Callithrix jacchus: one gene and its partner. The protein of the gene in region 1 binds, or shares a complex with, the protein of each later gene. Links are inferred from orthologs where the notes say so. Each region holds a gene or a part of one and is shown on either strand. Other genes may lie near its edges. The genes, in order: MTOR and FKBP3.

Region 1 (16,003 bases):
GGAGCTTCTCCTTGCCAGTTTCTCCCAGCAGGACCCTCTTCTTGTTTTGAAAGATAGTCGGCTGCTTTTGGTAGGCACGCTCGGTCTGAATGTCCGCCATCTTCCCGACAGCCTGCAAAAAGGAAAGTGGCCAATTTTTTGTCTTTTTAGCAGTGATGGGGTTTCACCATCTTGGCCAGGCTGGTCTCAAACTCCTGGCATCACGTGATCCTCCGGGCTCGGCCTCACAAAGTACTGGGGTTACAGACGTGAGCCACCGTGCCTGACCTGCTTAAGTTTTCACCTGGGTTTCTGGGGAGAAGAAAGAGACCAGACAGTCCTTCACAGGATGCTGGCAGGAGGCCTCCTATCACCTTTGCAAGCCTCATTGCTGTGGCCTAGGTCAGTAGTCACAGCAATATGCAAGTCAGCCCTTCCAAACCAAGTGAGGAGTCCTGGGAGGTGAGAACCCTTGGTAAGGCTGCCCTGTGCTGCCACTTTATTATTCAATGGGTGGTGCTCTTCTGCCTAACATACAACAAAATCAGGTCTCTTGCAAGGTGCTAGGGAAATTATAACCCTAAACATGAAGCGTGGCCACCCTCCACTTTGGAAGTAGTTGCATTTTGGGATTAGGCAAATGTAATGCTCTGTAGACCCGACAGTGCCCAGTTTGAATGCCACTCATAAGTAAAGATGATTTTTTTTTCTCCTCATATATACAGCGTCTGAGAGAAGAAATGGAAGAAATCACACAGCAGCAGCTGGTACACGACAAGTACTGCAAAGATCTCATGGGCTTTGGAACAAAGCCTCGTCACATTACCCCCTTCACCAGTTTCCAGGCTGTGCAGCCCCAACAGTCAAATGCCTTGGTGGGGCTGCTGGGGTACAGCTCTCACCAAGGCCTCATGGGATTTGGGACCTCCCCCAGCCCAGCTAAGTCCACCCTGGTGGAGAGCCGGTGTTGCAGAGACTTGATGGAGGAGAAATTTGATCAGGTAAGTGGTGAGAGGCCCTTTCCCTCTTTTCCCAAGCTCCACACCTCACTTTTCCCCTGCCAACCCTTTATCCTTCCTCTCTCAGGTGTGCCAGTGGGTGCTGAAATGCAGGAATAGCAAGAACTCGCTGATCCAGATGACAATCCTTAATTTGTTGCCCCGCTTGGCTGCATTCCGACCTTCTGCCTTCACAGGTGAGGATGTCCATGGAAGACGTCATTACCCATCTCAGGGTAATTAAACAGGGAACAGGTGATTCCAAAAACCTCAAGTATCTTTTCATTTGAAGCAATGCCAATGAATCTCTGATTTCTTTGCCTTGTGTCCAATTTCAATGATGTTTAGTTCAGATTTTCTGCTAATGTCAGAGGCAGCAGACACAGGAACAATCAGAACGGGTAGGCAGAGAGGCACTTCTAAGGCCAAAAAGTTCACAAATAGACTTAAAAGAGACCAGAGGAAGGGCAATTTTGATGTAGCTGTTGTGCAGTATCTGTGTCAAAGCTCTGTGAGTCAGGAAGGGTTTGGGGATCGTCCTGCTTCTATCCCTGAGGTGGTCACTGAGCTGCCTCACTACTTGCAGGCAGCATGAATCCCTGGCTCCTGAAGCTGGTGGCCCAGCTCAGATTCCAACTTCTCAATGAAGCCTTCCTGGATTGCTCCAGCTATAAATGTCCTTTCCTTCACCCATCATAGCCCTCAGCTGTGGAAAGGTTTGCCATTAGACCTGGGATGAACCCCACCTCCACCCTTAACTGTGAGGTTTGGGACAGATTATTTGACCTACCTGGGCCTCAACTTCCTGACTTGCAGAATCAGAATAACCATTTCTGCTTCCCAAGATGAGCAGCATTAATGCCTAAGCACCAAATATAGTACCTGGCACAGAGTTAGCCCTAATAAATGGAAACCATTATATATTATCACGACCTCTCCTCAAGCTACTTCAAATCTGTTCTGGAAATAAGGTAGAGGTAAAAATCATAATGTTCCAGTTGCCTGTTCGTACTTAATGTCCTTGTCTTACCTCCCTACTTGCTGAGAGTAGATGCCCAGTCTTGAACATCTCTTCCCACTTGACCATGCTGCACGTTGCCCATGCTTAGTGACACATTCGGGACGGCGTGAGAGCCAGGGACATAAGCAGAAGGCCGGCCTGGCCCTTAGCAGACCCTGTTCCCTAGCACACAGACACTTCACGCCACCCAGCCCAGACACACCATGGGAGAAATGTAGCTGGTGAGGTGTTAAACATGCTGTGTGAAAGCAGTAGAACATGTTGGGTGAGGACATGACAATTAGCCACGTAAAACCACTGAGCCAGAGAGAAATAACAGAACAAAAACCACCCATGTTTTGTGTGTTTCTATTCTTCTGGCCTGGCACCCAGCAGCTTTTCTCTTTTTTAATGACCAGAGAGGCTGCTGTTCTGTAGAGCTTTAAATGATCTTGGATTGAAAGTCTGTGGTTCAAAAGGAACTAATAACTAGGACAAATTTTATCAAAGTCTGGCACTATAGAAGCAGTGACCCTTGGAAGTTCAGAAGGCTGCCTAGCAGCAGAATGCAAAGGCTCAGAGGGCCCTGGATCTCTGTGTGTTGTTTTTGCTCTGTTTTTTAAGGCTAGTCAAGGTTGTTTTATTAAACACACTAAAATAGGTCAGTGACATTCAGCCTGGACACCCCTACAAGTATATTCTTTGCTTAGAGCTTGCAGTTTGGAAGTTAATTCTTAAACTTATCAATGGCGTAAGCTTTAGGAATATAAAAAATACTCCAGGAGTGGACTGGAATCTCTAGTCAGATTTCTAATCTCTCAGGATGCTAAATCTAGAAAAGAAAATTATACTCTCTTGGGTTTTTTTTTGAGGCAAGGTCTCGCTATGTCTTCCATGCTGAAGTGCAGTGATGTGATCACAGCTCACTGCAGCCGTGACCTACTGAGCTCAAATGTTCCTCTCACCTCAGCCTCCCAAGTAGCTAGGAACACAAGCATGAGTCTCCACACCTGGCCGATTTTTAAAATGTATTTTTTGTAGAGATGGGATTCTATTATGTTGCCCAGGCTGGTCTTGAACTCCTGGGCTCAAGCAATTCTCCCACCTCAGCCTCCCAAAGTGCTTGGGATTACAGACTTGAGCCACGGCACCTGGGAAAGAAATTACACTCTTGATTTTAGCTCATTTCCTGCTGAAATGCTATCCCCCTGGTTTTTCTTGTTGATCCACTCTAATTTTAGGGTTGTATCACCTTGGTCACCTGTCTTCAAGCCCCAGCATGCCTCATTGTCATTTGGCCACAAGAGCTATGGGAGAAGACATTTCTCCGAGTAGATGCAGTGATGATATGTGCTGCTTTAGGAGTCTAATTTATTGTCTACATGTGGTTCTGGTAGCTTTCAACATCCCTGACTTCCTAAGGGATGTGTAGTTTTGCCTTCTCTCCTATTTTATGTATGCTCCTGCTGCCTGGACTTGGGACCAACAGCAATGGAGGAGAAGAAATAGAAGAGAAGCAAGAATCAGGAAATTCCAGCCTTCAGAGGAGAAATAACACATTAGCTTAAATTGCATGAGAATCGCCTCCCTATGCACACTGGCTTATGTAAACTTAATGAAAATATACATGTGGCTTTCCGAATTGCAGACTAAATCTTGTTCTCTTAAATATAACTGTCACAAAAATCTCTAGGTAATAGCAAAATGATTTCCAGGCCTAAGCTAAATGAAATGGCCTGTTTATCGCTAACACTGCTCAGTGTTATAGTCATATATTGCTTAGTGATGGGAATGCATTTTGAGAAATTTGTCCTTAGGAGAATTTGTCCTTGTGTGAACACCATAGAATGTATTTACATAAACCCAGATGGTATAGCCTACTCTACACCTAGCTCTGTGGTATAGCCTATTGCTCCTGAGCTGCAACTTGTACAGCATGTTACTATAATGAATACTCGGGGCAACTGTAAAACAATGATAGATAAATGTGTTTCTAAATGTATCTAGACAAAAGATATGCAAAAATATACTGTGTCATAATCTTGTGGGACCACCATCATATATGTGGTCCACCATTGACCCAAACACGGTTAAGTGGCATATGACTGGACTGTTTGTTTTTTTTTATTTGTTGGAGATAGTCTTATTCTGTCGTCCAGGCTGGAGTGCCTGGCTTTTGGCTCACTGCAGCCTCAAACTCTTGGGCTCAAGTGATCCTCCTCAGCCTCCCAATGTGCTGGCATTACATGCGTAAGACACTGCATAATGTAAAATTGTTTAGGTGATCCTTTGTTGTTAAACAAGGTTTGACATATATTCCTTAAGCAAGAGTGTGTAATTCTTGTGTCAAAGTGTAACACTAATGGAGATAGTTACATGATACTGTTTTGATGACCTTTTATTATGTTTTTTGTTTTTTTGGGTTTTTTTTTGAGACTGAGTCTGCTTTGTTGCCAGGTTGGAGTGCAGTGGCATGATCACGGCTCATTGCAACCTCCGCCTCCCAGGTTCAAGCAATTCTTCTGCCTCAGCCTCCCAAGTAGCTGGGACTACGGGGATCCACCAATATGCCTGGCTACTTTTTGTATTTTTAGTAGAGATGGGGTTTCACCATGTTGGCCAGGATGATCTCGATCTCTTGACCTCGTGATCTGCCCGCCTCGGCCTCCCAAAGGGGTGGGATTATAGACATGAGCTACTGTACCCGACCCTTTTTTTTGAGACAGGGTCTTGCTTTGTCACCCAAGCTTTGCACATAATCACAGCTAACTGCAGCCTCAACTATCTGGTCTCAAGTGATCCTCATGACTCAGCCTCCTGAGTAGCTGGGATTACAGGCATGCACAACCACACCTGGCTAATTTTTTATTTTTTATTTATTTTTCTTTTTTTCAATTAATTCAAGAAAGAGATGTTAACAAATACTTTTTATGTTCTGCTTTCCATGTTGAAGAAAGTAAAAAAAAGTATAATAATTTTTATTTTTTGTAGAGACAGGATCTTGCTATGTTGCCCAGGCTGCTTTTGAACTCCTAGCCTCAAACAATCCTCCTACTTTGGCCTCCCAAAGTGCTGGGATCACAAGCATGAGCCACTGTGCCTGGCCACTTTCTTAATTTATTCATCAACTGAATTGCTACATAGGACCTTGACTGTTAATGTGTGGCCCTTAACCCTGACCTTGAATTATCTACTTTGTCTTTTCTGTGCTCAGATACCCAGTATCTCCAAGATACCATGAACCACGTCCTAAGCTGTGTCAAGAAAGAAAAGGAACGTACAGCAGCCTTCCAAGCCCTGGGGCTACTTTCTGTGGCTGTGAGGTCTGAGTTTAAGGTCTATTTGCCTCGTGTGCTGGACATCATCCGAGCAGCCCTGCCCCCTAAGGACTTCGCCCATAAGTAAGCACCTCTGTTATTTCACCTTCCACTCCATTTGGTTGGAGAGGAAGGATGCTCCATTCCAGATCCACAGAGCTTAACCCCATTTTATGCATCATTAAACTCCAGGGTATCGCAAATCGTATGAAGAATAGCCCTTTCCAGGTTGAATTCTAAGCTCTTTCAAATGAAATAACATATATAAATATTTGGGGAGGTTGAAAACCATGAGAACATGGTAGATGCCAATGCTATTTTCAGTGTTACTATTTACTGGGAATCTACTAGTTTTGCTTTTTTTCTCTGGCTTTTAAAAGTCATATTTTGATATAAGACCTAAAGAGAGGAATACTTGACTGGAACTGAAGGGACCTAAGGGTCATCTTTTTCCCCATTGCTGAAGTTGAGTAAGTTATTCTACCCCTTTAAACCTTCTGGCAAATATAATATGAGAAAAGCCCTCAGCTTCCTGCCAGATGGAGAGGCCAGGGTGTCTTCGCTAAGGCGAGGGGGTCAGTGTTCATCATCTTTTGTCTCAGGATTGTGTCTTTATACTTCCCTGTTTATTAGCAAGGATTGCTGTAGTGAATTAATATGTGCCACTCATTCTTTTTTTTTTTTTGAGATGGAGTCTTGCTCTGTCACCCAGGCTGGAGTACAGTGGTGTGATCTTGGCTCACTGCAACCTCCTCCTGGATCCAAATGATCCACCCACCTCAGCCTCCCAAGTAGCTGGGATTACAGGCATGCACCACCATGCCCAGCTAATTTTTGTATGTTTTTGTAAAGAAAGGGGTTCCCCATATTGGCCAGGCTGGTCTCAAACTCCTAGCCTCAAGTGATCCATGCAGTCCCAGCCTCCCTGGGACTACAGGTGTGCATTACCACGCCAAGCTAATCTTTTTTTTTTTTTTTTTTTTTTTTGAGACAGAGTCTCCCTCTGTTACCAGGCTCCAGGCTGGAGTGCAGTGATGCGCTCTTGGCTCACTGCAACCTCCACCTCCCGGGTTCAAGCAGTTTTCCTGCCTCAGCCTACCTGGTCCCTCCTGGGACCACAGGCGCACACCCTAATTTTTATATTTTTTGATAGAGACGGAGTTTCACCATATTGGCTAGGATGGTCTCAATCTCTTGACCTTGTGATCTTCCCGCCTTGGCCTCCCAAAATGCTGGGATTACAGGCATGAGCCATCGTGCCCAGCCTAATTTTTGTATTTTTAGTAGAGACGGGGTTTCACTATATTGGCCAGGCTGGTCTTGAACTCCTGACCTCTGGTGACCCACCCACCTCAGCCTCCCAAAGTTCTAGGATTACAGGTGTGAGCCACCGTGCCTGGCCCCATTCCAAAGCCCAGCATTCTCATCATAGAATAATTTCTTTCTGTATGATGGCTGTGTGCTGCCCTCTTGCCCCTCATGAACACATTGTTCAGCTTGCTTCCTACATAAGTATCTTGGTGAGCACCACACTAACTCATATGGTATTGCTGTGTGAATTCAGAAAAAGGGCATCTTCCTTAAGACACTTTACTGCCATCTGCTGGATTGTTGTGGAAATATACAAATCTACAGTAATTGTGATGTGATGGGCCCTTTTGAACTGTGCTGTGGACAGCCTGCACACCTGTGTATGGTAGTCCTGCCTGAGTAACCTGGTCTCCTTGCCCCAAAGTGATTTTGAGGTGGGACGTTAAAAAATGTCATTATGTTTCAACTAGTCACTGTCTGTTTCTCTGCAGGAGGCAGAAGGCAATGCAAGTGGATGCCACAGTCTTTACTTGCATCAGCATGCTGGCTCGAGCAATGGGGCCAGGCATCCAGCAGGATATCAAGGAACTGCTGGAGCCCATGCTGGCAGTGGGACTAAGGTGGGTGTCAGAAACCTGAGCTTGCCCTGTATCAGTGTGAGGTTTGGTCCGCAGTGTTGGGACTGGGTTAAAAGAGGGAGGCATGGTTGTTTGCACATTCAAAATGTGTTTTGCTTAGACAAAACACATAGGCTAGTACTGAATCCTAGTTTCATCACTAGCTAGCTATGTGATCTTGACTAAGTTATTTAATATCCCCGAGCCTCATTTTTTTTTATCTGAAAAGTGGGTACAGTAGTAATTCCTGTTGTCTAAGGTTGCTGTGGATTCATGATACAGTCATTCTTAGGACCATGCCTGGCGTATAGGAAATGTTCAATAAATATTTACAAATATTGTTTATATTATTATTAGGCAAGTTGCTTAAGCTCCCTAAACTATAGTTCTTTTCATCTGTAGAATAAGGACAGTGTTCTTGATCTGCTTGCCAGAGTGTTTGTTGAGTCTTGGTATTCTGTAGTGGCTGAATTATAATGAGCAAGTCTTCCTGTGGCAAGAACCAGAAACTCATAGATTGTTTAGAGACCTGAGACTAAGCAAAGAGAGTTTACACATTTATTCTCATTTCATAGTATCCTTTCTACTCTAAAGAACAGAGGCCTGATCCCCTTGCTGGGAGAGAAAGGCTGTTTCTTCCCAAGAACAGACTGAGTGTCATGTGCTCAACCCTTATGTGACTGGTTTCCTTCCCTTTAGCCCTGCCCTCACTGCTGTACTCTATGACCTGAGCCGTCAGATTCCACAGCTAAAGAAGGACATTCAAGACGGGCTACTGAAAATGCTGTCCCTGGTCCTTATGCACAAACCCCTCCGCCACCCAGGCATGCCCAAGGGCCTGGCCCATCAGCTGGCCTCCCCTGGGCTCACGACTCTCCCTGAGGCCAGTGATGTGGGCAGCATCACTCTTGCCCTCCGAACACTTGGCAGCTTTGAATTTGAAGGTAAGAAATTACAGTGGCTCTTGTCAACATAGTGAGAGATGCTGGAAACTTTGGGAAAGGAATGAAGGTATCTAGGATTCCTGGATCTTGCCGGGGTCCTAGAGACAGGGTAACTGATTCTGTAGCAGCTCATCCTTCCTAGACTCTTTCCATGTATTGGTAATTCCTATTGTTTGTTTCTTGTCCCATTCTGAGTTTTGGGGCAGTTGGTTTGAGGGAAAGTACACATTGATCCAAAGAAATAATGCTTCAGAGACAGATCCCCCTCACATCCTCACTTTTCTACTTCCTTGTAGCTGAGATGGTATGTAATGATTTAGAATGTATAACAAGGGCTTTTGGGTGTTTCCATGTCTATAGCAGTATGATTTCTTTTTTCTTCCTTTTTTTTTTTTTTTTTGAAACAAAGTCTCTTTCTGTCACCCAGGCTTGTATGCAGTGGCACGATTTCAGCTCACTGCAACCTCCGCCTCCCGGGTTTAAGTGATTCTCCTGCCTCAGCCTCCCAAGTAGCTGGGACTACAGGCACGTATCACCACACCCGGCTAATTTTTGGATTTTTGGTAGAGATGGGGTCTCACCATGTTGGCCAGGCTGGTTTCGAACTTCTGACCTCAAGTGATCTGCCTGCCTCGGCTCCCCAAAGTGCTGGGATTACAGCTGTGAGCCACTGTGCTCAGCTAGCGATATGATTTCTAAAAGTACTTTATTGTGTAGTTCTAAACTGCAAATAAACCCACTAATACCCCACAGAGGTATATTTCAAGAGAAAAGTTCATACTTTTGAAATTTAAGATCATGTAGGTAGTATTGGTCAAGACTGGGGAAACACGCACAGAAAGCCTGAAGATACTGTCTGGAGACAGCCACCTGTGGTTTCTCTATTGCAGTTCCTCCGCTTACACTGATTCACACTTGTGATAATTTATTTCTAGTGAATAGAAAGTAGCTATGCTTAAACCCAGCTTACGTAGACTCTTTGTCTGGTATTTAGATCTGGGAACCAAAACAGGCAAGGTAAATTTGACAAGAATTGCATTACCCTCTGAGAATGGTAGGGGTTGAGTTGGAATAAAATGAAATAATTTATTCTTTGAAGGGAATATAAAAAGGCTAGGGTTGAGAGATACTTTTTATCTCTCCCTGTTCCCTCACCACCCCCTTTTGCCTTTTGCTGATTGAAAGTCCACTTGTTATCCTTTAAGAATTCTGGGTCAGTATCATTGATCAGTATCTGGTTGAAAGTAGAACTAGTAGCCTCAAAATGGAAAATTCACCTAGCAAACTGCAGACCTGCCTGTCCACAGCAGCAGTGTTTATTCTGTTTTCTCTCTGCCTTTCTATCCAGGTCACTCTCTGACCCAATTCGTTCGCCACTGTGCAGATCATTTCCTGAACAGTGAGCACAAGGAGATCCGCATGGAGGCTGCCCGTACCTGCTCCCGCCTGCTCACACCCTCCATCCACCTCATCAGTGGCCATGCTCATGTGGTTAGCCAGACTGCAGTGCAAGTGGTGGCAGATGTGCTCAGCAAACTGCTCGTGGTTGGGATAACAGATCCTGGTAAGGCTTCTGAGACAGAAGCCATCTAGGGGAGTTTAGGAGCTTAGGGCAGCTGGAAGTAGCCAGTTTCATCACATGGCCTCTCCAGAGATCTTCGGTCTCAACAAGTTGATATTCAGCTATTTCTCTGCCACGGTGTTAGGCGTGGCTACTCCAGCCTGTTGGTGTAAGATAATGTCTTTAATTCATTTGTCTTTACTCCTATGAGTAGAGAAAAGAATGACAGAGGATAGATGAGAGAAAGCATCTGGAATCTTCCCACTATGCTGATAGCAGTGGAGGTAGAGAAGGGCTGGAGTGATGGGGTCATGAAGAAATGTTCAAAGGCTCCATTGCTCTTGCAGACCCTGACATTCGCTATTGTGTCTTGGCGTCCCTGGATGAGCGCTTTGATGCACACCTGGCCCAGGCGGAGAACTTGCAGGCCTTGTTTGTGGCTCTGAATGACCAGGTGTTTGAGATCCGGGAGCTGGCCATCTGCACTGTGGGCCGACTCAGTAGCATGAACCCCGCCTTTGTCATGCCTTTCCTGCGCAAGATGCTCATCCAGGTAACCGGGATGATGGTCAGACCCACAGGCAGGGAGCACAGGATTCTCACTGTGAGAGCTGCTTGAGGAAGCAGAGTTGAGGACAAGGATGGGGGAGAAAGATTGAGGTACCTGGGAAAAGTCACCTTTGTCTGCAAGGGTTCACATGTTTCCCTGGCTTTATAGTGGCAATTCCAGTGCTCATCACCTCATGAGCCTTTTGTTAGTATGAGTCCCCTCATGCAGCTCTTTATTCTTCCTGGCAACTCAGTCACCAGTGATCCCATTTCTTGGCCCTCTTTGCTTGCTGGCTTGATCTGCTGCAGATGGTGTCAGACTTCCCAGTGCCTCCCTGTCCTTCCACTCTTCTGCTTTCCTTGTTGGTGCCAGGTCAAGCATGGCGGCCATTGTTCTGCAGAAGAATAACCAGTGTGAGACCATTTCCACTATGTGTTCTAATAGTCATTGCCTCATTCTGTGATCCTGGCTTTTGTTCTTAAATAATGTGAGAATGCCAAGCTCAGCTGCTTGGTCTATAGCCTAAGATAGATTTAGGTTGGCCTTGCTACTAGATCCAGTGGGATTTTTAATTCCTCTTGAGACATGGCTCCTGAATTTTTGTCTTCACCTACCTGAGTAAGTTTTGTGGCCTCCAGGTGAGCAGTACATGGTCCAGTCCTGCCTGGCGAAGTTATTTCCACCTTCCTCTTCTGGTTCTCTGTGTGGCTCACCCACTCATTTCCAGTCCCTGTTGCTCGCTGTCTGCTTCCTGACCCTCCCTTATGGTTTCTTTCTAAGTAAACACTTTTTATAACATATATGGAACTTAAACATAGAAAATCATTAATATATGTAACTCACTCTAGAGAAATGTTGTTCACAATTTGTCATAAAGTGGCTATAAATTATATCATCAATCAAATTAGAAAGTTGCACTTATGTTGGCACCTCTATTTTTAGCCTAAAGATTTATTTAACTGTTGGCCTGTGTTAGAAGTGCCTGTCATTTTAAGTCTTTAAAAAATTCCTCAGTCTTAGGAAGGAATAGAAATCATCGTTAAAGGCCAGGCGTGGTGGTTCACGCCAGTAATCCCAGCCTTTGGGAGGCCAAGGCAGCCAGATCACCTGAGGTCAGGAGTTTGAGACCAGCCTGGCCAACATGGTAAAACCTCATCTCTACTAAAAAGAAAAAAAATTAGCCAGGCATGATGGCAGGTGTCTGTAATCCCAGCTACTCAGGAGGCTGGTGCAGGCAGAATTGCTTGAATGCAGGAGGTGGGGGTTGCAGTGGGCCAAGGTTGTGCCATTATACTCCAGCCTGGGCGACAGAGTGAGACTCTGTCTCAAAAAAACAGAAATCACTCTTGAGCCTGCTAGCTCAAGTCATGCTAAATGAATTTGGCATAGAAATATCTCCTAAAAGGCTGAGTGCAGTGTCTCATGTCTGTTATCCCAGCACATTGGGAGGCCAAGGCAGATGGATCAAATGAGCCCAAGAGTGATGAGACCAGCCTGGGGAAGATGATGAACTGCGTCTCTGCGAAATATACAAATATACACCAGGCTGGGTATAGTGGTGCATACCTGTAGTCCTAGCTACTTGGTGGCTGAGGTGGGAGGATTACTTGAGTCTGGTAAGTTGTGGATACAATGAGCCATGATCGTGTCACTGCACTCCAGCCTGAGTGACAGAGTGAGACCCTATCTCAAAAAGGAAAGAAAGAAAAAAAAAGAAATACCTCCTAATGTTTGAGCACATATATGTTCCAGGTACTTGTGGGCACTGGGAATATAGCAGTGAACAAGCCATGCATGGCTCCAATCTTCTTGAAGCTGACATGAAGCTATCAGGCCATCTCATTTTTTTCAATATCAAAGAGTATGAAACTCCTTTGAATGAATTTACTATGTACTGAATTTAGCCCTTGAAACTTTACTCTTTTTTCTTTTTAAACTTTGATATAGATTTTTCTAAATTGAGTTGTACATTTTCATGCCTTAGTAAAGGCTTTGGCGTTTTGTTTTGAGACAGGATCCCTCACTCTGTTGCCAAGGTTGGAGTGCAATGTGGGATCTTGTCTCACTGCAGCCTCTGCTTCTTGGGCTCGAGCAATCTGCCCATCTCAGCCTCCCAAAGTGTTTAGATTACAGGCGTGAGCCAGCTTTGACCTTTCCTTGAGGTCTTAGTCATCAGGGTGGACATTGGTTATGTTATTAGGATGCAGTGAGGCTCTCGGGCTCTGGAAGTGAACCTGGGGTTCTTTGGGTTGGCCCCACACTGCTGCAGCTAGTTGGGCTCTGCTCCCTGAGGCACATTTCTTCGCAGTCACCCATGTCTTTTTGCTGCTGCAGGTCTGTTCTCAGTATCCCCTTTCTTTTCCCTGTGGTCTGCTATGACTGGGGAAACAGGCTGCCTAGGGAATCCAGCAAATCAGGTAATTAATTCAGTAAGCTGAGACAAAATGTAATGTTAAATTGTAGACTCCTCTGGGTAGCTGAGTTAACCTGAACTCTGTGACATCTGCTTTTCTCACTGCTCAGCGACTTCCTTCTGGCAACTTTAGCTATCCAGAAATCTGGATAGTCCATATTATGCTGTCTCTGTCACCGTGAGCATAATGTGCTGATTTGCTGGTGTTGTAAGGATCCAGTCAGTAAGGCTTCAGGGGATCCTACTGATGTGATCCCTACCTATTGAAGTTTATCTAGATATGCCCTAAACAGCTATAGAGTATCAACACTTCTCTCAGCATCATAGCTGTTCTAGCTTTTCTTTGATTCCTTTGCTATTATTTGTAGTCCTTAGTAATTTGCTGTCTGGACAAATATTTTTTGTCCCAAGGGGCCCTCCCTTCATTCCTCATTTTTATAGGACCCTACCCTACTCCCAGCTCTCTCTGTTGGGTTTCGTAGTCTTCTCTGGCTGTGCTACACTGTTAAAAGCTGTGCTTTAGAGAGGACTGTGGGACCTTGGAGTGCTGTGATAAAAGGAAAGGGGGAAGGTTTTCAAGTAGTTTTTCTTCCTGTTGCAGCTGTATCTGAGGCTGTTCTGATAGCTGTAGAGATGTCTGTTGCTCATTGAGTATCTAGCAGCTATTTCATCTGTTCTGGAGGTCTGGATTTTCCCCCTAGTTCCCTGCCAGGTTTTCTGTTTGACACAGTCTCTCTCTAGAATGTCTTCTGCGGTAGAGAACACATGAGCCTTTCTTCCCTACAGATTTTGACAGAGCTGGAGCACAGTGGGATTGGAAGAATCAAAGAGCAGAGTGCCCGCATGCTGGGGCACCTGGTCTCTAATGCCCCTAGACTCATCCGCCCCTACATGGAGCCTATTCTGAAGGTAACATAAACTGAGAGGCTGGCACTTTCTTTCTGCATTGTCTTATATCAGTTCATGTGGGGAGATGGGAGTGTTTCAGTGCTCATTAGTACACTGAACAAGGTAGATGATTTCTTGGCTCCCGTGCTTGGAGACCAAAGGGTCATATCAAGCACTTTCAGATAGAGAATACCAAGAACCTCATCAGTCACAGGAAAGTGCTCTCCTTATAAGAGGTAAGAGATAATGCTTCAGGCACATCATCACAGGTGTTTGGAAGGGAGAAGCAGGTGGAGAGTAGCATAAAATAGCTCTTCCAAATGAGGAAAAAATGATCTTGAAAATCTGAAACAACCTTCAAATCTGAACACGTTAGAGTCATGTGAAGTCCTTTTTAACATATGTGAATCTGGATGAGCGATCACTGAGAGATACAGTTTAGAGGAGATGTGAGAAATACTTTAATGTCATGGTGCTTCCTAGCTCTATGGAGAAAAGTTTGAGAATTTATCTTCCAGAGAAATCTTGGATTCACAAAGCCTAGAAGGAATTTATTTATGACTGAGATGGTCTCCTGGGTGAATTTTACTTATATAAAAGAAAGGTTTCTAGTGGAGTCTAACCTGCATTCATTTTCTCATAACTTCTTTCCCTAGGCATTAATTTTGAAACTGAAAGATCCAGACCCTGATCCAAACCCAGGTGTGATCAACAATGTCCTGGCCACAATAGGAGAATTGGCACAGGTAAAGGGACAGCTGCTTTTTCCATAGGGTGGAAAGAAACTCACCTCTAAGGAAGTCAAAATACTTTTCTTTTTTTTTGAGACAGTTCCACTCTATCCAGGCTGGAGTTCAGTGGTGCAATATCAGCTCACTGCAACCTCTGTCTCCTGGGTTCAAGCTATTCTTGTGCCTCAGCCTCTCAAGTAGCTGGGATTTCAGGTGTGTGCCACCACACCTGTCTAATTTTTGTATTTTTAGTAGAGACGGGGATTGACAATGTTGGCCAGGCTGTCTTGAATCCTGACCTCAGGTGATCCACCCTCCTCAACCTCCTGAAGTGCTGGGATTACAGGTGTGAGCCACTGTGCCTAGCCTCAGAATACTTTTTTTTTTTTGAGACGAGGTCTCACTCTGTTGCCCAGGCTAGAGTGCAGTGGCACGATCTCAGCTCACTGCAACCACTGCCTCCCAGGTTCAAGCGATTCTCCTGTCTCAGCCTCCCGAGTAGCTGTGATTATAGGTGTGTACCACCACACCTGGCTCAAAATACTTCTTAATGTCATAGTTTCTAACCCTATCTACCACCCTCTTTTTCATCTTGCAGGTTAGTGGCCTGGAAATGAGAAAATGGGTTGATGAACTTTTTATTATCATCATGGACATGCTCCAGGATTCTTCTTTGTTGGCCAAAAGACAGGTGAGTATTACTGCTTCCTGATTGAGTGAGACAGACTCCATGAGCCTGGGAACCTTGTTTCTCTTTATTCTCCTCAGTGTCCTCTGTCAGTACCTAGCACAGAGTGGGACACATAGTAGGTGCTCAAAAATACTTGTTGAATGAGTAAAAAATAGAATGATTTGGAACCAGAATTACCTGTTATTTTGACCCAGACTCAGTTTTAGTAAGTATCAAGGCTGACCAGTGCCATTTGTCTATACAGAAGAAAATGCAGGTCACTTATCAGAGCCCCAGCTATCAGAGGGAAAAAGAAAGCCTTGGCCACTGCCTTTGAAGGAATAGAACTTCAGCTCATCCTTGCCCGGCCCTGGTTCTGCTTTCCCAGTTTGAGGCTATTAGATGACTAGACTAAAATTAAGAGCAGTTTTAATTTCTTTCTGTGTGTGGTAGCTCACACCAGTAATCCTAGCATTTTGGGAGTCTGAGACAGGAAGATTGCTTGAGCTCCGGAGTTTGAGATCAGCCTGGGCATAATGAGACTTTGTCTCAACTAAAAAAAAAAAAAAAAAATGGCTGGGCATGGTGGCACGCGCCTATAGTCCTAGCTACTCAAGAGGCTACTCAGGAGGCTAAGATGGAAGAACCCAGGAGATTAAGGCTGCAGTGACCTGTTATCACACCACTGCATTCCATTCTTTTTTTTGAAAGAAAAAATAATATTTTATTTTTATTTATTTAATTTTTCTTTTTTCTTTTTTTGAGACAGGGTCTCACTCTGTTACCCAGGCTGGAGTGCAGTGGTGTGATCATAGCTCACTGCAGCTTCAAACTCCTAGGCTCAAGCAAGCCTCCTTCCTTGGCCTCCCAAAGTGCTAGAATTGTAGGTTTGAGCCACTGCACCCAGCCAATATTTTTATTTCTTTTTTTTTTTATCTTTATTTTTTTATTTTTTTTTATTTTTTATTGCATTTTAGGTTTTGGGGTACATGTGCAGAACATGCAAGACAGTTGCATAGGTACA
Region 2 (16,678 bases), on another chromosome or scaffold:
TAAGTAGCACATCTCGGCTCACTGCAACCTCCGCCTTCCAGGTTCGAGCGATTCTCCTGCCTTAGCCTCCTGAGCAGCTGGGATTACAGGTGCGCCCCATCACGCCCAGCTAATTTTTCTATTAGTAGAGACTGGGTTTCACCATGTTGGCCAGGCTGGTCTCGAATTCCTGACCTGGTGATCCTCCCTCCTAGGCCTCTCAAAGTGCTGGGATTACAGGCCCGGCCAGAATTTTTTTTCTTATGTAAGGAGTCCTGATGTTCAACTATTAAATCTTTATTACACATAAGAGCATTATAATAAACGTCGGTGTGCAATTACTCCACTCTAACGAAGATTTCGATCTCAGTCAATTCCTAACTTCTTCTCTCTAAACCTGACAACTTTGAGTAACAGCTGTAAATGTTTCCTTGCGTACTGAAAAAATATATATACATCACAGAGTTACGAGCATTAATAATGTCATTTTCATTAGCAAGTGACATCCTGAGTGCAGCTTCTTTAGAAATTGTTTTGTTCAAGTTTCTGAACTTCGTTTTATACAAACTTTCTCGTGTCTGTATGTGGGGAAGGGGATGAGCAGTTTGTATTTAAGTTTCAGTTGTGTGATCTTTTTTTTTTTTTTTGAGACGGAGTTTCGCTCTTGTTACCCAGGCTGGAGTGCAATGGCGCGATCTCGGCTCACCGCAGCCTCCGCCTCCTCGGTTCAAGCAATTCTCTCGCCTCAGCCTCCTGAGTAGCTGGGATTACAGGCACACGCCACCATGCCAGCTAATTTTTTGTATTTTTAGTAAAGACGGGTTTCACCATGTTGACCAGGATGGTCTCAATTTCTTGACCTCATGATCCACTCGCCACGGCCTCCTAAAGTGCTAGGATTACAGGCGTGAGCCACCGCGCCAGGCAGTTGTGTGATCTTTAAAAGGCCGGGCACGGTGTCTCACGCCTGTAATCCCAGCACTTTGGGATGCTGAGGCGGGCGGATCACGAGGTCAGGAGTTAGAGACCAGCTAGCCAACATAGTGAAACCCCGTCTCTACTAAAAATACAAAAATTAACCAGGTGTGGTGGCGTGTGCCTGTGGTCGCAGCAACTTAGGAGGCTGAGGCAGGAGAATCGCTTGAACCGGGAGGTGGAGGTTGCAGTGAGCCGAGATCACGCCATTGCACTCAAGCCCTGGCAACGGTGCGAAACTCCGTCTCAAAAAAACAAAAGGGGAGGAGAGATGGTGTGTTTCCTGATCGACAAGGACTGAGCCAGTTTAGGTGTGAATTTTTAGAATAGAACTAGATAAAACGAGATGAGGAGCCCATTCAGGGGCTTTCTTTTAACAGGTAATAGACTGAGCTTTAAAGCCATAGTTGCCATAAGCAATAACAGTGAGTAATGGCTGATAAATGTCGCTACCATCATCGGCCGCTTCACAGCGGATATAATTCAGAATTAAGGACCACTAGCGGTCTTCAATTCGGTGAACTGCTGAGACCACTGCGGTAGGTTTTTTAACCCGGACCCAACAAAGAAGCCCACATAGCACAACCTTGACGTCACTCAAAGACAGGTCCCAGTCCCGACTGCTAGAGCAGTGACCCGCCCCTCGACTTCCGTCAGGGGCCACGCCACGCCTCAGGGGGCGGGGCGATGCCGAACTGCGGCGGGCTGGCTCAGTAAAGCAGAGGCGGCGGGGGAAGATGGCGGCGGCTGTTCCACAGCGGGCGTGGACCGTGGAGCAGCTGCGCAGTGAGCAGCTGCCCAAGAAGGACATTATCAAGTTTCTGCAGGACCACGGCTCAGATTCGGTACCGGAGGCGGAGGGGCGGCCGGGCTGGTGCGGCTGAGGGACGCCTCACCCCCCTGGAGATGCCCATACATTCCGTATTCCTCTGTGCCTCCGCCCTCGTCTTCCCGCGGCCGGTGGCCGGGCAGGCCGCAGCGGCCCAGTGTGCGCCTCAGAGCCTAGCTCCCGCCCCTCGGCGTGCCCTACTGGGGCGGCGGAGCAGCTTTATTTCTTGGGGCACACGGGTTGGCAACTGTGGAGTTAGGACCTCATTGGGATCCTTGAGTAGGGGTGGAGGCCAGAAAAAAAGGGACCCGAAGATATTGGGGATTAGGGCGGGGAAGCCGAGGAATAGTGGTGTGGATGAGACTCCTGGGAGCGGGGCGTCGGCTACTAGGGAAAAAGGGATGTGAAGATTTCTATGGGAACGGTTATCCAACTTAACTTTTCTCAACAATTTACTAAATACTTAATATTAATGCGAGTGATTTTTTAAAAATCCGTAGGTTGTGGTTTACGTTTTGGTTTAACATACCGACCCTTTAATGACCTTCTCACCTTTATACTTTCAGGGAGGTACGTGCACATTTCTCTTGTGCAGTGGTCTCCCATTGTTATAAACAGATTAAGAAATTTATTTGAAATTCTTTATACTGTATGCTCTCCATTGTCAGCATAGTCTCCATCTTAACCATATGTCTATAGTGAAGTTATTTTTGTTTTTTTTTTTTCCTTTGGAAATTAAGATCATTCATGTGTCTCTTAAATTGCTGAGATAGTTGTGCACGCCGCATTCTCCTCTGACAAGTGGCAGACTGCTTGTGTTTTCTATACAATTTTAAAAATTCCTAAACTTTAATTTAGAAAAATTGTTTCTGGGTTTTATTTTTGAGCTGGAGTCGAGCTGTTACCCAGGCTGGAGTGCAGTGGAGTGATCTCGGCTCACTGCAACCTCAGCCTCCTGGGTTCAAGCGATTCTCCTTCCTTAGCCTCCCAAGCAGCTGGGACTACAGGTGCGCGCCACCACGCCCAGCTAACTTTTTTGTATTTTTTTTTTTTTTAATAGAGACGGGGTTTCACCATGTTGGCCAGAATGGTCGATCTCTTGACCTCGTGATCCGCAGGCCTCGGCCTCCCGAAGTGCTGGGATTCAGGCTTGAGCCACCACGCCTGGCCTTAAGTTTTTTGTATTTTTAGTAGAGACAGGGTTTCACCATATTGGCCAAGGTGGTCTCGAACTCCTGACCTCGTGATTCACCCGCCTTGGCTTCCCAAAGTGCTGGGATTACAGGCGTGAGCCACCGTGAGGAGATTATATTTTATTTCATTTTGGAAGGGTGTCTTGACAGGGCGATATAAGAACTCTCCAACTTCCAGTTCCTTCTTCCTGAATCATTATCCTGGCAGTTGCATCTTAGATTAATGTAGTAAATATTAATACAACATCTGTAACAAAACCTATTCTCAATGTTTGGAGGTACAAGAGCGAAAAAGAAAGAACATGCATCGGGGAGCTTACCCCATTTTAAGCTATTTTTTCTTAAGCTAATTAATATTTCATCTGAAACAATAGAATAGACATATCATTAACATTTATTAATCCCTTTGTCCTGTACTTCATCATAGTCTTATGAAACAAATCATGCCAATGTGGAATCGAATGTAAAACTGGGCCACTTGGGACAATTTAAACAGACTTGGATTATCAAAAAAAAAATTTTTTTTTTTTTTTGAGACGGAGTTTCGCTCTTGTTACCCAGGCTGGAGTGCAATGGTGCAATCTCGGCTCACCGCAACCTCCGCCTCCAGGGTTCAGGCAATTCTCCTCTCTCAGCCTCCTGAGTAGCTGGGATTACAGGCACGCGCCACCATGCCCAGCTAATTTTTTGTATTTTTAGTAGAGACGGGGTTTCACCATGTTGACCAGGATGGTCTCGATCTCTTGACCTCGTGATCCATCCGCCTAGGCCTCCCAAAATCCTGGGGTTACAGGCTTGAGCCACCGCGCCGGCCCAAAATGTTTTTATAACATAGTAATCTTTTAAACCCACAGCCTTGGCCAGGCGTGGTGGCTCGTTTCTGTAATCCTAGCACTTTGGGAGGCCAAAGGGAGCAGATCACTTGAGGCCAGGCATTCCAGACCAGCCTGGCCAACGTGGCAAAACTTCATTTCTACTAAAAACACAAAAAATTAGCTGGGCATGGTGGTGGGCGCCTCTAATGTCAGCTATTCGGGAGGCTGAGGCAGGAGAATTGTTTGAACCCAAGAGGTGGAGACTCTTACTGTGTGACAGACTCTATGCTAAATGCATCAAATGGATTGTTACATTTTTATTCTTAGAGCAACTGTTTGACATAGATGCTATTATTAATCTTCCATTACAGATATGGCTGAGTCTTGTGGTTTTTTTGTTTTGTTTTGTTTTTCTGGGAGAGGGAGTCACACTCTGTCGCCCAGGCTGGAGTGCAGTGGCACAATCTCCGCTCACTGCAACTTCTGCCTCCCAGGTTCGAGCGATTCTCCTGCCTCAGCCTCCCTAGTAGCTGAGATTACAGGCGCACACTGCCATGTCCATCTGATGTTTTGCATGTTAGTAGAGACAGGGTTTCACCATGTTGGCCAGGCTACTCGCAAACTTCGGAGCTCCGGTGATCCACCCTCCTCAGCCTCAGGGCGAGGCTGAGTCCTTAGACAGGCTTAGTCCCCTTTGTAGTATCAGACAGCTAGGATTTTTTTTTTTTTTTTTTTTTTTGAGACAGAGTCTCACTCTGTCACCCAGGCCGGAGTACAGTGGCGCAATCTTGGCTCACTGCAACCTCTTGCCTCCGAGGTTCAAGCAATTCTCTTGCCTCAGCCTTCCAAGCTAGGACTACAGGCATACGTCACCATGCCCGGCTAATTGTATTTTTAGTAGAGTTGGGGTTTCGTCATATTGGCCAGACAGGTCTCAAACTCCTGACCTCAGGCGATCTACCAGCCTTGGCCTCCCTCCCAAAGTACTGGGATTACAGGTGTGAGCCACCGTACCTGGCCCAAAGAGGTAGGATTTTAACCTAGGTAATATGATTCCACAGCCCATACACCTAGCAATTGTGTGTGTGTGTGTGTGTGTGTGTGTGTGTGTGTAATGTTAGGTATGGTTATCTCAACATATCTGTGTTACCTGCTTGTATAACAGTGAGTCTTCCTAGTCTCCCAAGAATAGGTTACAGATGCCTCAGGATAGCTATGCCCAACCTGGCTGGAGGCTCTCAAAGGCTGCACCCAAGTATCCTCCTGCAGTGAGCAGCTGCCTCAAGTCACCACAGTGTGTTTGCTGTATAAATGTTATTTTTTGTGGCTGCGTGACTGGGAAAAGGTTAAGACGAACCACTCTGTCCAGTACATAACACTGCATTCCAGTCTTGTGAATAATTCTTATAAATATCCAATTTTTAAAAAATCTATCTTACATTTTTTTGTAATGAAATAGAGTATAAACTATAGGTTTTTTTCTTCTTCGATACTAGTACTATTGAAAATACAACTGCTAACATAAAAAGGTCACATTTTCTAATTTTAGACATTTCTTGCTTGAGATAAGTTATCTTGATTACCCAGCTTTTTCCCTTATAGTTTCTTGCAGAACATAAATTATTAGGAAACATTAAAAATGTGGCCAAGACCGCTAACAAGGACCACTTGGTTACAGCCTATAACCATCTTTTTGAAACTAAGGTGAGTATTGTTAGATTCTGTTAACAGAATAACAGAACTTTTGAAATTGTACTTCCTAAAAGATGTTTAGAATGCATTTATTTGCTGAATGTGTTGGAGCTTCTTCACCTGCAGTTTTTTTGAACCATTATCATAAATGGACTAGCTGTCAAATCTAGCAAGGCTAATCAGGAATATGGCAGAATGTTTCGTTATTTTCAAAGGGTTTGGATTTTGTAGCTTAAATTGAGACAACAAATTCTTAAGGCCACTAGTTATATATTCATTAGGGCAGTGGTATTTCCATACTTTAGCATATGGTATATATTAAATTTTTTGTTTTATTATATAAAATGTTATACAGAAAATGTTTCCATTTCACTAATGAATTTAAAGTCTGGTTTAGATTTAAGCTGAGCATTTACAAAAATAAATTTTAAGATATTCTCCCATATTTGTTCACTATGAAATGAGTATCTTCCATAGGAAAAAAATCTTTATTCAGTAGTTATTTGAATAGTATTTATATCTCTGGGTATGAGTTGGCCTTTCTAATGTCATGGTTCTCATTTCAGAATTTATATTGTAAGCTGGTTTGAAAGTAATAATTTATGTTTAAAATAAATTATGAAAAAAAATTTTTCTTTGTTCTTAATTTTCCTTAGACCATTTATTCACAATTGTATTATATAACCTATATTTATTGTGCAGATGTTCATTTAATTGAGAGGCTGAAAATCTTGATGTTATTCCTTGGCTTTAGCCTGTCCTGAATATGATGTTAGAACATTTTCCTTACAGCGTTTTAAGGGTACTGAAAGTATAAGTAAAGTGTCTGAGCAAGTAAAAAATGTGAAGCTTAATGAAGATAAACCCAAAGAAACCAAGTCTGAAGAGACTCTGGATGAGGTCTGTATATACTATTTTCTTATTTTATCATGTGGATTCTAAAAATTGTATTTATTTCTTTATTATTTGCACTAATTTCTCATAGTGAAGGGTGGTTGAGTATGACCACTTTCAATGAGCCAAACAGTTAGTTGGAGTGTGCCATTTCCCTTAGGGACAGAAATAATCCTAAGAACTAGTGCTTTACAGTTATTAGCCTATCCTGTGAAATACTTCTGACATTGTATTTATTATTGCTGCCATAGGTGGCAGACCTTCTGAGCTTTTGAAGCTATTTTAAGACTTGATTCTATAGCCAAGTTGGACTAAGTGGAATAAACTTTCTTTTGATTATTTTTAGCTGTTTCTAATGTACGTGATGTCCCTGGCAATAGAAATAATCCAGGCTTGGCTGCAGGATGTGGGTTCATCTGTCTCAGCTTTCCCAACTCAGGTTTTATATTTTGGTACAAAGGTTTAAAGAAGCAGATTCATTCATTTCTGCAAATTGACAGCCTTAGTAGAGCTAAGATCAGCTGCTAAGAACTAACTTAGCAGAACTGAATAGATTATAATCTTGTCATTTCTGATCATATGTAACTAAGCTCACTCATTGGCTCACTCATTGCTAGCAGTCTTAGTATCAGTGATAATAATCTATTAGTTCTTGTAAAGAGTTGTAGCCTCTTTACAACTCTTGACAATTGATGACAGTGTTGTTTTTGGATATTTGTGGAAAGTATAAGTTCAATTATACAGTTATAGATGCTTATTTTATTAAAGCTAGTTAATTTTGCATGATTTTTTTCCTATTGGCTAAAAAGCACAAATTAAATGATTGTGGGTATATGTGCATATAAAGCAATTTTAAAGTTTATCACAATTGCCAGGCGTGGTGACTCAGGCCTGTAATCCCAGCACTTTGGGAAGTTGAGGTGGGTGGATCATCTGAGGTCAGGAGTTCGAGACCAGCCTGACCAATGTGGAGAAAGCCCTACTAAAAATACAAAATTTGCTGTGCACAGTGGTGCCTGCCTGTGATCCCAGCTCTAGGGAGGCTGAGGCAGGAGAATCGCTTGTAGCCGGAGGTGGAGGTTGCAGTGAGCCAGGCCTGGGCAACAAGAGCAAAACTCTGTCTCTAAAAAAAAAAAAAAAAAAAAATTTAAAAAAGTTTTTAAAAGTTTATCACAATTAATATTTGATAAATATTATATCTAATGACTAGCTACTAAGGTAAATTGAGCAATTATTATTGAAGGGTTTCAGAAGCAACTGGTAACATAGTTTGCCTTCCAGAAAATTAGAATGAGGGTGGTTTTAGGAGACAGTATTTCATTAAGGAGCTAAAAAGTTACAAATAAACTAAATGGCAAGTTCATAAGAGCTAGAGACAATCTAGAGAGATCTTATGAGGGTCCTAAACTATATCATTTTATTTAAAACCTCTTCATTTAACTGGCCAGCTTGAGCCCAATTATGTACTGTGTCTGTTTTCCTAACACCCTAGATTCAAAAGCCTCTTGTCTATTCCCTTACTAACCCTTATTGTCTATTTTGTCTTCATGCTTTGGGACTAGAGAGCAGGCATTATAAACATATAATCATAAAACCTTTTATTGAGCCTGGTATAAACTCATGCTTAATATTAGCCAAGCATGTTTTCTAGTTTCATTGCTACTCAACAACATTTATGCTATCCTTTCCCTATTCTCTATCACATTGCTCATTGCTTACATAAGGTATGTGACATTTTTTCACAAATTTTTACTCACCTTTTTTTTTTTTTTTTTTTTGGAGACAGTTTTGCTCTGTTGCCCAGGCTAGAGTGCAATAGTGCCATCTAGGCTCACTGCAGCCTCCACCCCCTGGGATCAAGTGATTATCCTGCGTCAGCCTCCCTAGTAGCTGGGACTACAGGCATGTGCCAGCACGCCTGGCTGATTTTGGTATTTTTAATAGAGACAGGTTTCTCCATGTTGGCTGAGCTGGTCTTGAACTCTTGACCTCAAGTTACGTGCCCACCTCAGCCTTCCAAAGTACTGGGATTCCAAGCGTGAATCACTGTGCCTGGCTTCCCTTCTCATTATATGTTCCTGTGTTCTCTTTTACCAAAATGTGAACGTCTAGCTATTGCCATTCCCTTCTTCCCAGCTTAAAAGTTCTCTGAATCTTTGTCTCACTTTTCCTTTCTCATGTCTCCTTCAGGACTAACGCTATCAAACATCATCTTTTATTTTAACTGTTCATTTTTTTTTTTCGATTTTCAAGCATTCTAAGCAAGACCTCAGACCTGGAAGGTTAGAAACGTTACATTTTAATTAGTCACCACTGGTCTTCAATATATATATATCCAAATATTTTATTCTTGGCATTCAAAGCCTTCCAAAACGTGGCCACTGCTAAATTCCATATTCCATGTTTCTATAGATGTATTCTTGGCCTGGTGCAGTGGCTAACGCCTATTATCCCAGCACTTTGGGAGACTGAGGCAGGTGGGTTGCCTGAGCCTCTAAGTGAGCCACGAAATATTGAGATATTTTACAGTGATGTGATCACTCCAGCCTCGGCAACAAGACCCTGTCTCTTAAAAAAGGAAAAAAAAAAATGCTGGGTGCGGTGGCTCACGCCTGTAATCCCAGCACTTTGGGAGGCAGAGGCGTGCGGATCAAGAGGTCAGGGATTCAAGACCAACCTGACCAACATGACGAAACCTGGTCTCTACTTAAAAATACAAAAATTCACTGGATGTGTTGGTGTACACCTATAATCCCAGCTACTTCGGAGGCCAAGGCAGGAGAATTGCTTGAACCCGGGAGGCAGAGGTTGTGGTGAGCCAAGAGCATGCCATTGCACTCCCGCCTGGGCAACAGAGCAAGACTCCATCTCAAAAAAATAAAGGGAAAAAAATTATTAAAAATAATTTTTTTTTTTTTTTGAGACCGTTTTACTCTTGTCGCCCAGGCTAGAATGCAGTGGCAAGATTTTGGCTCATTGTAACCTCTGCCTCCAGGGTTCAAGCAATTCTCCTGCTTCAGCCTCCTAAGTAGCTGGGATTACAGGTACCCACCACGACACCCAGTCAATTTTTGTATTTTCTGTAGAGACGGGGTTTCACCATGTTGGCCAGGCTGACCTCGAACTCCTGACCTCAGGTGATCCACCCACCTGGACCTCCCAAAGTGCTGAGATTACGGGTGTGAGCCAGTGCGCCTTGCCGATTGAAATATTTCTATGCTATGTGCACCTGTTCTACTGAGAAGGTCATGGAAGAGACAGGAGTTCATAGGGCAGTAGAATTCTGGAGCTTCAGGGAGTGATAGATTAAGATCCTGCATGGTTTAGGCCTTTGGATATAGAACTATAAGCAGTAATTATTAACATCACTCTAGCAATTGAGTAGACGACTGAAGGTGTCAGAGATAAACACAATTGGACATTAAAGTGGTAAAAACATTTTTTTTTTCAGTCTATTGACAGTAGGGGAAAGAGCTGAACTCCTATCTCATGTATGGAGAGGTAACTGGGTCTTTTGAAACAATGAGGGAATAGGGAGGGATTTAAGTTAGGGAAGTGAAAAATTACAAAAAGCAGGAAGTGGGAGTTGATCCATACGAAACCTATCTGAGTTTGCTAACTGGTGCTTATCAGAGTTAGGCTCCCACAGACTGAGAGACGGGTCCTTTCTTCATCTTCAGGTGTTGCCTGAAACAAAAACAGTAAATTTTTTTGGCAGCCTTAGGTGGGCACTTTAAGGAGGGATCGGGTCCTCCTAGGAATAAGGCCTTGAGCTATTTGAAACTTGTGTGTTTGTTCACATCTTTATAGGCCAAGGTTGAGGCCTTGTGAAGAAGAGGGCTCAGAGGAGCCTAGCTAGAGTTTGGTGAGGGAGAGAATCTTTTGTCAAGAGGTAGACTATTTTGCAAGATCAGACTTTTTTTTGAGATGGATTCTCACTGTTACCAGTGGCACCATCTTGGCTCACTGCAACCTCTGCCTCCTAGATTTAAGTGATTCTCCTGCCTCAGCCTCCCAAGCACCTGAGATTACAGGCGCATGCCACCACACCTGGATAATTTCTGTATTTTTAAGAGAGATGGGATTTTACCATGTTGGCCAGCTTGGTCTCGAACTCCTGACCTCAAGTGATCTGCCTGCCTTGGCCTCCAAAGTGCTGAGATTACAGGCGTAAGCCACTGTACCCAGTATGGATTTTTTTTACTTACAAGTTTTGGAAAAGGATAAAAATCCTAGGTAGGGAAGTGAAAGTGAATAAAAGTTTGCATGACTTGCCCAATTAGAAATAGATCAGAAATAAAGAAAATACTGTTCCTCTTGCTTTTCAAACTCGGGAACTAATAGATTTGAAATATTTGATATCCAACCACACCTTTGTTATTTTATGAAATTTAGAAACCACATACAGATTTGGATAATGCAGATCTCTCTGAATTTGGTCTGAATTCAGAAACCAAATAGATTTAGGTAAAGAGGATACTTTTAAATTCGGTCCATCTCTTTTTTTCTTTAACTTCCTTAGATTCTTGACAGTTAATCTCTCTGCTTTCCTCTCATATATGAATTACTATTGATAAAATTAATCTGTAACTTTTTTTTTTAGAAGACCCTGATAATTTTGCTTTGTTCTAGGAAATATGCCTGTTAGGGCAATTTCATTAGGTAATTTCATCCATTGTGTGAACTTATTTTTCAAATCAGGGACACAGGCAATATCACTGTATTCATTCTAATTGGATATAATAAAAACACCTAGTAATATCAATTATTGCTGCTAAAACAGTTAAAATCTTTGTGGGGGAAAGTTACCATCCCTTATTGTAATGCCTTATGATTTTATAAAAATTAAATAGTAATTAAAAAAAAAACTTTAGGAAATAACTGAAATCATTTTTTGGTTTGCTGAATAATTAACAATCTTGTTAGAAGAATTTTGGCTTCCAAAGAAGCTGGAAGTTTTTTGTAATTAAATTATAGATGTTTAAGTTACATGATATTCATATCACAGCCTTGAAATGAGACACTGAAGTGTTTTGTTTTTTTAAGTCATAGAGGTGGACTAGATGGAAAACAGTTTATTACCAAATCTATCAAACTTTTTAAACTGACTTTGGTCATTGTTGGCTATTGTTTGTCATTCTTCTAAAAGACACAAATTAACAACTGTGTGTATGTTGTTTTTTGTTTTTAGGGTCCACCAAAATATACAAAATCTGTTCTGAAAAAGGGAGATAAAACCAATTTTCCCAAAAAGGGAGATGTTGTTCACTGCTGGTATACAGGAACACTACAAGATGGGACTGTTTTTGATACTAATATTCAAACAAGTAAGTCTAAATGTAATCTTAGTTTTTAGCTTAAAGACATTACAAAATACTTGGGTGGCAGATAGATGAGTAGTTAGCCTTTTTCTTAACTGTCAGCTACTTTTATCAAGATGTACTTTTCCCCAAGAACTACTTGGAAGAGGTCTTCAGTTCACTGATTATTGGCTGGCTAAAGACCTCTTGTTCATTGGAAAGCAAAAAATAAGGAATTTCAGTCTAAACCTGGTTAATGTCCCAAAGTAAGGCTTTAGTATTTGAATAGAAAAGGCAGGATAGTATGCTGTTTTGTGATATAAGCATAGGTCCTAACCCTCTACCCTTTGATAAGAATATAATTATTTTTCAGCTAGAATGTTATTGATGGATGACCTGGCTTTGTAAATTTTTCTTTCTTTCAAAATACATAGTATTGTAATTCTGAAATCAAACCAGTATATTTTTTCCATTGGAACTCCATTTCTTAATAATAGAGTATATCATTAATTATAAGGAAAATCTGTTTTACAGGTGCAAAGAAGAAGAAAAATGCCAAGCCTTTAAGTTTTAAGGTCGGAGTAGGCAAAGTTATCAGAGGAGTAAGTAAAGAATGCCAATGAATCAGTAGATATTCTGGCACATGTTGTTTGTGGTATGATGCCATAAAGAATTAGGCTTGGGGATATAATAAAAAGGAAACAGACCTTGGAGTCTGACAGACTGGGTATAATCACTGCTAGCTGATCTTGTACAAGTTGTCTGGGTCTGTTTTTGCTACCTATAAAGTGAGGACAGTACTGCCTACCTCAAGGTTGTTAGAAGATTAAATGAGTGTAACTTAAGCAACTAATACAGTAGGGGCTTAAATGTTAGTCCCTTCCATGTGTACCCCTTTTATTGTTTTCCTTCATACAGTCAGTCTTTGTCACAGTGTTTGGCCCTCTAAATTTGTCTTTAAGATTCCTATATAATGTTTTATAACTATTGTACCATTTACATATAATTGGGGAAGGTAAAATATGTTCCATTTTAGTACTCATAGAAGCAGAGTTTGTTTCTGAAGCCTGTTCACTTCATACAGCATAGACTGCAATACCAGACAATTGTTCAAACATAAGCATGCTTTAACCTAACTTACATGCTTTTATCTAACTTATAAGTGATAGATAACAGAAGGAAACTCAGAAAAGGGGAAGTTAGGCTTGACCTGTATTGACCATTATAGTGTACAGAAGAAGATAAAAGAGCAGACTGACTGTCACCTTCTATGAATCAGGCTTTCATGCTAGGCCCATTGTTTGCTTTAAATTGTTATTCTCAGAACATCAGACATCAATAATTGAAATGCCTATTTAAATGCAGTTATAAGAACCTTCAATATATTACTCTCTGTACTATCGGTAGGTCCTAAGATATGGTTCAGACAATCATATACAGAATATAAAACATCTTAGCCAGGCACCACGGCTCACAGGGAAGCTGAGGCGGGTGGATCACCTGAAGTCAGGAGTTCAAGACCAGTGTGACCAACAAGATGAAACCTTGTCTCTACTATAAATACAAAAATTAGCCAGGCATGGTGGCAGGCACCTGTAGCCCCAGCTACTCGGGAGCCTGAGACAGGAGAAATGCCTGCCTGAACCTGGTAGGCAGAGGTTGCAATGAGCTGAGATCACGCCACTGTACTCCAGCCTGGGCAAGGGAGCAAGACTCTGTCTCAAAAAAATAAAAACATAATTGTATCTTCCTTTACCAAGTTGATAGCAAGTATATATCTAATTGGGCCATTTTTCTATTTCTGTAACTTACTTGCATATTGGTAAATTTCTTCTAGTCTTCCATATTCTTTTTATTTTGAGATGGAGTTTCGCTCTTGTTGCCCAGGCTGAAGTGCAGTGGCGCGAACTTGGCTCACTGCAATCATCTTCTGGGTTCAAGCGATTTTCCTGCCTCAGCCTTTCCAGTAGCAGGGATTGTAGGCATGCGCCACCTCACCTAATTTTGTATTCCTAGTAGAGACAGGGTTTTACCATGTTGGTCAGGCTGGTCTTGAACTCCTGACCTCAAGTGATCCACCCACATCAGCTTCCCAAAGTGCTGGGATTACAGGCATGAGCCACTATGCCCAGCTAGTCTACCATATACTTAATGTCCAAATGTGACCAGCCTAACTTTGTCCCTTGAGCTTTAAATGATTGTTGCATTTCAACAGTGTAATATTAGGAATATTACCCTTGTGGTCATGTCGCTTTAACTGTTTTTTTGGCAACTAACTTTAAAATCCAAATTTGAAAAATATGGGGAGGCCTACCCAGAAGCCTTTTACTGAATTTCTTTGAAAAGTTAGTTTTACCTTTTGCAAAAGACCCTAGTGCCATAACATTTTAAAAATTGTATTTTATGTAGCAACATGAATCTATTACAATGTGGTAATCTTAAGACAATTTTAGTTGAATACTTGCCAGTATATTCCAGTAAAAATAAACTCTCAAGTTTGCCCTGTAATGTAAAAGTGTAGCAGATTTTTTTATGATGATGCCAATAACAAACTGGTTTTAATAATGTATGGCATGTTAAGGTTTACAAAAAGTTTTTTTTTTTTTTTTTTTTTTTTTGTGAGACAGTCTCACTCTGTTGCCCAGGCTGGAGTGCAGTGGCACAATCCCAGCTCCCTGCAACCTCTGCCACCTGGGTTCAAGTGATTCTCCTGCCTCAGCCTCCCAAGTAGCTGGGATTACAGGCACCCCCCCACACACACACCCTGCTAATTTTTGTAATTTTAGTAGAGATGGGGTTTCACTATGTTAGTTAGGCTGGTCTTGAACTCTTGACCTCAAGTGATCTGCCTGCCTCAGCCTCCCAAAGTGCTGAGATTATAGGTGTGAGCCACCACAGTCGGCCCCAAAAAGTTCTTTTAATATTTAAAAAGCCCTCCTTAAAATACCCTTATTTTTTTCTATTGAAGAAATGGAAGACAAAGATTTAGGGATTCACTGAAGTACATTACCTTAGAATATAGTGAAATCCAGTAATAGATTCTGTGTTTGTTTTAACATATAATCTTGTCTTGACTGCCGTAGTATTGCATGTGCTTTTTGCAAAATACCATTAGTTTTTATTTTGTTCTTGCCTTTAGTGGGATGAAGCTCTCTTGACTATGAGTAAAGGAGAAAAAGCTCGACTGGAGATTGAACCAGAATGGGCTTATGGAAAGAAAGGACAGCCTGATGCCAAGTATCCTTTTTTCCCTTCATAATTAAAGGAAAAAAAAATAATCTCAGGATCACATGAAGATGTGAAAGACGCTGTCTAGGTGAACTTCTAGGTGAAGAATCCTGTCCAGACTATTTAGATGTGTATGTATCAGCACCTCCAACAGACAACAGTATTTTCTATTGGGATAAAGTTCAAACTTCAGCTAGAATCTTTTTTTTTCCCTCTTATTCAAAATCTTAACTTTCAAGACCTTAACTGTGAAGTTTATACTTAAAAGGCAATTACTAATGTTTTGAAGAGTTTAAGAAGTTACAATGCCAGTACAAACTGTAGCAAACTAGGGTGCAAATATGGTTCATAGTTAATTTTATGGTACAGTATAATTTCAGGCAATTAAATTCAAAGCTTAGAAATGGAATAGATGTGGAAGATTACCAATTGTGAACTGAAGGAGATCACAGAATCAACACAGTGTTAGTGTAAGCATTTATTATTACTACTAATGACAATACTCACTGAGAAGTCCAGTTTGAACATTAAAAAAAAAACAAGGAGTGACTCCAGACCATTAAGACCAGACCAATCCAATAGCTAAGAGGGAAGGTGGTTGATGGCTTTTGTTGGTTCCATTCCCCTTGGACCCGGTTTAAGTTTGAAAAAATTCTATTGGCAGCATTCTATCATCTTATCAGATAAACACATTTGGGAATATAATAGCTCCCTTAGCTTTTCAAAATCAAATGGCCAGGATGGGCGAGGTAGCTCACACCTGTAATCCCAGCACTTTGCGAGGGTGGATCACCTGAGGTTAGGAGTTTGAGACCAGTCTGGGCAACATGGTGAAACCCAGTCTCTACTAAAAATACAAAAATCAGCCAGACGTGGTGGCACATGCCTGTAATCCTAGCTACCCTGGAGGCTGAAGCAGGAGAATCGCTTGAACCTGGGAAGCGGAGGTTGCAGTGAGATATGATTGCGTGACTGCACTCCAGCTTGAGCGCAAGAGTGAGACTCTGTCTCAAAAAAAAAAAAAAAATCAAATGGCCAGCTGCAGCTCCCTCTCCCATGTGAAGAAGGATTTGAAGACCAATCTGATGCACATATAAATTATGTAACTCTGAGGTTAGCAGTTTTTTTCTTTGTTTGTTTTTTGAGCCAGGGGTCTGACTCATCCAGGCTGGAGTGCAGCAGCACAATTTCGGCTTGCTGCAACCTCCACCTCCCAAACAGTTCTGCCTCAGCCTCCCTAGTAGCTTAGGGACTACAGGCATGCACCACCACGCCTGGCTCATTTTTGTATTTTTAGTAGAGATGAGGTTTCACTGTGTTAGCCAGGCTGGTCACAAACTCCTAACCTCAGGTGATCTACCCACTTCAGTCTCCTAAAGTGTTAGGATTACAGGCATGAGCCACCGCACCTAGCCTTGAATTTAGCATCTTAAAATGCACAGTAAAAGTTACATACTACCTCATAAAAATTTTAATACAGCATATTTTTTTCCCAGCTAGAATGGTATTACTTTTTTTTTTGAGTACTTAATAGTCTTAATTAAGTGGTAGCTAATTTAGGAGTACTTATAAAGCATCCAGGTAAGGATGATCCTAGTCCTAGCTAAATTTATCTAGTGAGCCTATCTAATCAGCCTATTCTGATAGATTATGATCCCCATTTATCATGAAAAATACTTTTAGGGGCCAGACGTGGTGGCTCACACCTGTAATCCCAGCACTTTGGGAGGCCAAGGTGGGTGGATCACCCTGTCTCTACTAAAAATACAAAAA

The links.
Region 2: the proteins of MTOR (region 1) and FKBP3 are in contact, whole or in part, in a crystal structure (PDB 5GPG), measured with the Homo sapiens proteins. The link is inferred for Callithrix jacchus from reciprocal best matches to the Homo sapiens genes MTOR and FKBP3. Residues at the interface, in NP_001373429.1 of Homo sapiens: Glu2032, Tyr2038, Phe2039, Gly2040, Arg2042, Tyr2088, Val2094, Leu2097, Tyr2105, His2106, Arg2109; in NP_002004.1 of Homo sapiens: Lys160, Pro161, Leu162, Ser163, Lys170, Tyr198, Lys201, Gly202, Gln203, Pro204, Asp205, Ala206.

What each region holds. Positions count from the first base shown.
Region 1 is NC_133508.1:49,104,802-49,120,804, reverse strand, and holds part of MTOR (serine/threonine-protein kinase mTOR), read left to right. Parts: exon of another isoform or gene 1-123; intron 124-704; coding exon 705-980; intron 981-1,065; coding exon 1,066-1,174; intron 1,175-5,191; coding exon 5,192-5,378; intron 5,379-7,096; coding exon 7,097-7,225; intron 7,226-7,921; coding exon 7,922-8,166; intron 8,167-9,514; coding exon 9,515-9,730; intron 9,731-10,074; coding exon 10,075-10,280; intron 10,281-13,476; coding exon 13,477-13,599; intron 13,600-14,234; coding exon 14,235-14,324; intron 14,325-14,907; coding exon 14,908-15,000; intron 15,001-16,003. UniProt on the Homo sapiens protein: Serine/threonine protein kinase which is a central regulator of cellular metabolism, growth and survival in response to hormones, growth factors, nutrients, energy and stress signals.
Region 2 is NC_133509.1:79,684,381-79,701,058, reverse strand, and holds the start of FKBP3 (peptidyl-prolyl cis-trans isomerase FKBP3), read left to right. Parts: upstream 1-1,666; 5' UTR 1,667-1,691; coding exon 1,692-1,799; intron 1,800-5,393; coding exon 5,394-5,495; intron 5,496-6,275; coding exon 6,276-6,383; intron 6,384-11,568; coding exon 11,569-11,704; intron 11,705-12,211; coding exon 12,212-12,279; intron 12,280-14,816; coding exon 14,817-14,914; intron 14,915-16,678. UniProt on the Homo sapiens protein: FK506- and rapamycin-binding proteins (FKBPs) constitute a family of receptors for the two immunosuppressants which inhibit T-cell proliferation by arresting two distinct cytoplasmic signal transmission pathways. PPIases accelerate the folding of proteins.